2 linked regions of the Astyanax mexicanus genome follow. The protein of the gene in region 1 purifies or fractionates together with the protein of each later gene. This does not show direct contact. Links are inferred from orthologs where the notes say so. Each region holds a gene or a part of one and is shown on either strand. Other genes may lie near its edges.

Region 1 (3,757 bases):
GCATTTTCCTTCTTACACCCATAACTGAAATTGCCAAATTTATATATTAGGCAGACACTGTAATAATTTGTTTATTCACAAATTAGTTTTTAAAGAATAACTCAATCAATACCGTAATATAAATGATACATAAACATTTCTAAAAAAAATTATTTAATATTTTCCAAAGAGTATCACAAATGTCGGTTGTGTTGTTTTTACATCTCCTTCATTCAAAGCGCACACAGTGAACGTTTCAATAACAAGAACAAAAAAAAATAATAAATAAAAATCTGTGAGCATCCTATTTAAGTATTTTTAAGTTCCTCTTCCATGTTTGGCAGCACACAGTTCGGAATAAAACGCCAGTAAAACTGAATATTTAGGGAGCAGAAAATGGGAACCTTAATCCATAGTACGTGTTGTGTCAATTGGATTAAAATATATAAAAAAAACAGTACAAATGTCTTTATATTATTGAGCATTAAAGTTTCATTGCTCTTTAAAACAATGTAAATGTATTATAATGCTATTGAGCTTTGTGGTTGGGATGTTCTACTCTGGGGCTGGGGTATTGGGTTTTAGTCCCTGTCTGTGTGAAGTTTCCATGTTCTTCTCGTTTCTGTGTGGGTTTCGTCCGGAAACCTCCAGGTTGACGGTGGTTTCCAGTTAAGAGTATGCTGTGCACGATTGGCTTTCACTTTTCACTTCATTCATTTGCTAAAATATTATTATTTTATGTGGGCACCGAGTGGTCCAGCAGGCTAAAGCGCTGCCACTATAATCAGGAGATCGCTGGTTCCGGTTCCCAGTAATGAAACTTGCCATCAGTGGCTGGAGCCCTGAGAAAGCACAATTGGCCACTCCTTTCCTAATTATCTCATGACTAGGATTTTGCCATATCGTATCAGATCCAATAATATCGCCAACATTATTAAATATCGTGAACGATATTATACCCTGAAATATCGTGCCATATCACCCACCCCTAATTATCACATCAGGGTTCTACTTTTTTTTTACTGTTTTTTGCAAAAAGAAAAATTCACACTGTTCTCATTTCCCATTGTATATTTATTAGAGACAAGATTATATCTGTCCAGTATAGGGCATTATTGGTACCATAACATTCTGGATCATTGATTCTTGTATTGTTTAATGTCTCAATTTGGAGTGTGCAATAGTAAAATTTAATTTTCATTTTTCAGAAGTGTAGCGTATCGTTTTCGCAAAAATACCATTAAATATCGTGATATTATTTTAAAGCCATATCGCCCACCCCTACTCATGCCAACCTATTAAAAACATCTATCTATCTATCTATCTATCTATCTATCTATCTATCTATCTATCTATCTATCTATCTATCTATCTATCTATCTATCTATCTATCTATCTATCTATCTATCTAATCATCTTCTCTACGCAAGTTACGTAGCAGTTTAAGCTGTAGACGCTGCGCAGCTTAGCACTTTTCTTTGTGAATACGCCTCGCTCAGTCGCTCGCTCGGTTTAAGGAGAAGCTCGATCGCTCTGCTACGCGCTCGGTTTGCGCGCTAGCTCCCTAAATTCACAATAACCATTAATTCGGATCGATTTACCAATGGACTGATCAAGGTAAATCATTCTACTGCACTTCTGATAATCGATACCGCCGGGTTCTGGCATGCAAACACGGTTAAATACGGTTTTAGCCAGAAGTTTACAGGCATTTCTGATGGTTAGCCTGGCTAGTTAGCACAGCTAAGCTAACTCCGTTAGCCGCCGCCGCTTCAGTGAACGAGATTCTAGCGGTTAGCTTAGCATAGGTAGCTGAGCTAGTTAGCCATCGATGCTAATTGTGTTTAGCTAGGTTAGCTAGCGTTAGTTAGCTCAGCGCGAGCGGGTTTAATTCGTTTTTCTCCGTTAAAATATACATTGAATTTAATTCTGCAGCGAATTCAAAGCGTTTAGAGACGAATTAGAGACTATTTTCTATTTAATAACTAAAACACCAGAGCTGGAAATGTGTACAATAGCTATGTTAGCTGAGCTACATGTTTATAATCCGCTTAGTTTACTGTATAACTGTAGTTATATTTGTATTAGTTTCAGTGCTGCTTGTGTTATCTAGCTTAGTTATTAAATAATCGTAGGCCTGTCACAATAACAATATTTTCTAGACGATATATCGTTCCAGAAACTATTACGATAAACAATATTATTGTATATTTGATTATTTTAGAACCTTTAGCTAAATATCACTGACATAATGATAATATAATAGCATAAAACAGCACTTATAGCCCTTTAAAGACAACATATTCGTTGTTAATCATAAATTTTGGGAAATATAAGCTAGTTATAGTTTATTATTTACCTTCTTCATTCTGTCTGCATGACTGGCTAAAATACTGTTCATCATTATACATGTGAACAAACATACACATTAATCACTATTATAAACCAGATCACCATTATTAAATATGATTGGGGTCAGGTCTAGGTCTGTCAAAATAATTCCATTATAGACTTCTTCTCCTACAGTATATGAACACAACCACAATTAATTGATTTATCGAAGAGACCCTTGATTAATGTCAATGATCGTGTATGTCCACTTTGTTTAAAAACACAGATTTTACTTTATTACATTACTTTATTTAAATAAGATACTGGTACAAGATAGATGAGGTATAGATTTGTACAAATGTATAGGCATAAGTTTGTATATTATTGATTTATCCAGTCTTGAACAGACATTTTTGATGACCCTAATATCAACAATTATGTGATTCTTTTTTTGTGAGATTTACAATGACATGAATAGCTAAAATGTTGACTTTGTTTAAAAACATAAAAAGAAAAATATGTGAAATTGCTAAGCTGCACGTTCATAATTTGCTTAGTTAGCTAGTTGGTTATATTTGTGTTAGTTTTAGGGCTAGCTTGTGTTACCTAGCTAGTAAATAATCAGAGGAATTTGTGGACAATATATCGTCCCAGTAACTATGCCGATAAATGATAATATTGCCATTTTAAGATTTTTAGCTAAATGTCACTGACATGATGATAATATAATAGTATAACAAATCATTCATTACCTTTTAAACACAGCATATTTTTCATTAATCATATATTTTGGAAAATATATAGTTTATTCTTCACCTTTTACAGTCATGACTGAGTAAAATACTGTTCACTGTTTGTATTTGTATTAGTAAGTCGATAATGTAAATATCCTGACAGGCCTAGACACAAGTTATACTATGGTGTATAGTCTCTATTGTAAGTTACTAATAAGTATATTGGCATCATGAAATAATCTCCTTATTGGTGCATCCCTAATTTAAAGATTAGGTCTTGTAAAAGGTGTAATTAAAATGACAATAATAAGACAGAAACAGAGAAAAATAGTCTAAGTTTTCTTAGTTTTCTTAGACAATGAATTTTTAGAGTTTTTCTTATGTTAACCCATGCAAATTATGTACTTTGACCTAAGAAGAACATAACTAATAATAAAAGCAACTAGATTGCAGTTCCTGCAGAAACTGTGATTGTGTTTGCAGTGCTGATTCGTGGGTGGTTGCTATGGTGTTGCTAAGTGGTTGCTAAGGTGTTGCTGTTATATCCTGTTGGTTGCAATGGTGTTGCTAAGGTGTTGCTATGGTGTATTAAAAAAACAAACACTAATTTAGGATCTGACTTCTTTGGATGTAGTGTGCCTTATTGGTGTAGATACCTTGTTTTTATTTGCAGTTGTAAAGCATTTAATTTGTTTGTTGTTTATATAAAAAGG
Region 2 (3,757 bases), on another chromosome or scaffold:
TATATATCTTTCATATTTTTCATATTTATAATTTTTTATTCTTTTTATATATTTTTTATTCAGCTGGTACCTGAATAGTTTTCACAAAGCACAATCTGTGTTTGAAAGTTAAAGGGAATTAACCAATTAAACAAACATATTTGAATATAAATTAAATCATATTGTGATTATCTGATTATCTAATTGAATATTTTATTTTACATTTAAATATCCATTATTAAAAGTTTATTCAAAGAATTACAGCAAATTGTTTGATTCATCTGTTATTTTGACAGTCCTAGATAATATTAATCATCTAGTAATAATATATATTATTAATAATATATATACACACACACACACACGCGCGCGCAAAAACACCGACACACTACTTTTATGAAGTTTTTTATTTTCATTTTTTTATATATTTTGTTAAAATGTACTACTTTGCATACAACAAACAACATCCTCCCATCCACCCTTCACCCACTCAATTTTTTCATGTTATTTGTCATTGTGTTGCTGCTGTCTGAGTTGCATGAGTTTGATCCACCCAGGAATGGGTGGATCAAAGACCAAGTTCCCAGCAGTGTTATTTTTTTTGTTAGGACATTCCCTGTTAAGTATTACCTGATTTTACAATATTTTTTCTGCTTTTTTATAGGGTCATGATCCATGGTACCTTTTTTGTTTTATGTGATGTTGTATGTTGCTTAATTAAAGAAGGGTTACAAAACTTGTCATACAGTGTATACCCAACGTTAGTGATGGTGTTACTAATTTTAACGTTAGTGTTCTAGTGTTAATAAAGTGATCTATCTGTCTATCCATCTGTCTATCTATCTGTCCCTGGTCTTGTCCTCCTCCTCCTCCTCCTTCTCCTCAGGAGTCTGTTTATCTGACACTTCACATTTGGCGCCTTAACTACTAAAAATGCATGCGAATAGGACGCAGCTCCTCCCACAAACTACAGATCTTCCATTTTTACAGGGGTGAGAGAAATATTTACCTGTAATGTTTAGCCACCAAATTCCGAATTATTTGTTCTTTATATTTTTATGCACATCGTTTCGAATATAGAAGGAACATGTTATACTCAAACACGTCGAATTTAACTTAATTTTATAAAGAAACTTAGACACAGCAGGGTGTCCCCCCCTCCGCAAGAATGGCCGATCCGCCGGCCGGGCTTTGGCGCTCTGTCCGGGCTCCGTGTCTCCCGGGCTGCCGCTGCTGCTGACCTGAGTCCCCGAATAATGCTCAGTATTATCCGCTCGGGTTCATTTATACGCGCCTGATTGTGTTTAAATCATGACAGAGGAGGAGCTGAAGGTTCCGGACGAGCTCTTCAAGGACGTGAAGTTCTACGTGGTCGGGGACATTGAGAAGAAGGTGGAAGTTTTCTGTCATTTTCGAGGCTAGCTCGGCTCGCTAGCTTAGTGAGCTAACGTAGCGTTAGCATAACAGAGCCTAACTGACCGTGTTTTAATGTAAGCAGAAGGCTAAGCTAACTGCTTAGCTAGCTTAGCTCGCGAGCAGCACTTTTCACACTGCAGCGCCGGTGTGGTTCCGCTTTATTAATTAATAAAATATTTAACAGGACAAAATACAACCCATAATATCAGTACAGAAACCTGGTAACCCTGGAAAAGGTGATGTTTTATATCTTTAGTTGAGCCGCTAAAGGTGACTAGCCTAGCCTGCAGCCTCCTTCATTCAGACTGGGGCAGTGGTAGTTAACTAGTTAGCTAGCTAAGTAAAGCTAAGCTAGCTGTTAGCTTGGCTAAGGCTAATGCAGAACATTGTCTTTACAACTAACTTAGCTAGGTTAGCTAACGCTGGCTTATCATAACTTTGTACATAGCTAACTAGCTAACTTAAAGCTCTGGAAAAAATAACGAGATCACCTCAGTTTCTGAGTCAGTTTATCTAATTATGCTATTTTATAGGCATATGTTTGAGTAAAATGAACATTGTTGTTTTATTTTATAAACTACGAGCAACATTTCTCCCAAATTCCAAATAAAAGTATTGTCATCTAGAGCATTTATTTGCATAAAATGAGAAATGGCTGAAATAACAAAAAAGACGCAGAGCTTTCAGACGTAAAACAATGCAAAGAATACAAGTTCACATTCATAAAGTTTTAAGAAATCAGAGTCAATACTTCTAATGTATCTTGCCATGTTCTCCTTCAGCAGTCTTGCACACTGCTCTTTGATAACTGTGTGCCACTCCTGCAACAATTCAAGCAGTTCAGCTTGGTTTGATGGCTTGTGATCATCCATCTTTCTCTTGATTATATTCTCTTGATAGGTTTTCAATTTGGTAAAAACAAAGAAACTCATCATTTTTAACTGGTCTGTTTACGAGGTTCTGTATATTGAAAGTTGTCATAGATGGCCAGCTGTGGTATTTTGGTATGATAACAGCTACCTAACCGAGGTAAGCTACTAGCTATTTGACTGATATAGCTTAGTTAGCTAACATCAAACCTAGTAAAGCTATCCTAGCTAGCTGCCTCCACTCACCATATAATTACTGTAATACATACTGTTAAGTCAAGTCAAGTAGTTTTATTGTCAATACTGCGTAAGTACTGGACATACAGAGAAATAAACAAACGTTACTCTCCTTATTACTTAAGTTACTACAAGTACAGTAAAATAAAATTATGAATATAAAAGAATTAGAGAGACTTAATTTACTATACAACAAGGTTACAGATATAGACATACATGAGACAACAGAAACAAGACAAATGTGATAGGGGGATTAAAGAGGTACTGAGAGAACCAGTATAAAAAGGACCCGTATAAAGTCCAATTATAGTGGTATAAAAGCTTAAGGCTGGTAAAGTGAACGAGTGCACACAGTTCTTTAAATGTCACAGTTGTAGGGGAAATTAAAGTGGGTATAGATAGCGCAAGGATAGGCAGTAGTGCAGGTATGGAATGTGTGAGTGAATATCAGTTCTTGAAAAGTTTCAGTACTGTTGATTCCAGTACTAAGTTTCAGTACTGTGTTGTTAGGGGTGGGCATCCTCACAGCCTGGTGGATGTAGCTCTAGCCTGTAGACAGGTATCGGTCTCTTCGTAAACTTTGTTAGTGAGCTAGCTAGCCAGCCGACTGTCACCCTCTTCTTCTATAAACATGCTCGGCTGCATAGTGCACTATTGCTGGATACATGTAGGCTACAGTACAGGTTTGACGCAGAAGTATAATTTGGGCTTTAGTAGTGTGTTGTGCTGATGGTATGATTAGATCAGACACAGCTGTGCTGCTGGAGTTTTTAAACACCTTGTTCCCTCATTGTTCGCTCTATTAGACACTCCTGCCTAGTAGTTAAGTTAAGCCATAGAAAGAGTTTTGCTTCTGTTGCTGCACAGTTTTTGTGGTGGTCAATTTCATTTACTTTATCAGTACTCACTGAAGGAATAGCTGCCTAAAAGATGCTGTTAGAGGACTGTTCTCAATTCAACAGCTTTTTGGATAACGTGTAATTCTCAACACTGCATTGAGACTGACATGATGGTGGAGAGTTAGGATGCTTGTTTTGTTTGGTCCTGTCTTTCGGTCTTTGCATTTTGGCTCTGAACCAAAGTAGCAGATGTAAAAGGGGTCTCGGTCCAGATCTACTAAACCACGGTCCAGACCTACTAAACCACGGTCCAGACTTTTCAACCTATTACAGGAAGTTGAGTTAATCATTAAATAAAGCAGAGAAAAAAAAATTGGTGTTGGTGAATTGTGCTGAAATCAGACTCCCCTTTCAGGG

Evidence for each region.
Region 2: the proteins of ncoa6 (region 1) and paxip1 purify together in Homo sapiens (co-immunoprecipitation; 6 studies listed by BioGRID and IntAct, with this or other methods). This does not show direct contact. The link is inferred for Astyanax mexicanus from reciprocal best matches to the Homo sapiens genes NCOA6 and PAXIP1.

What each region holds. Positions count from the first base shown.
Region 1 is NC_064420.1:49,310,394-49,314,150, reverse strand, and holds the start of ncoa6 (nuclear receptor coactivator 6), read left to right. Parts: upstream 1-1,474; 5' UTR 1,475-1,596; intron 1,597-3,757. UniProt on the Homo sapiens protein: Nuclear receptor coactivator that directly binds nuclear receptors and stimulates the transcriptional activities in a hormone-dependent fashion. Coactivates expression in an agonist- and AF2-dependent manner.
Region 2 is NC_064411.1:34,833,565-34,837,321, forward strand, and holds the start of paxip1 (PAX-interacting protein 1), read left to right. Parts: upstream 1-1,163; 5' UTR 1,164-1,290; coding exon 1,291-1,371; intron 1,372-3,757.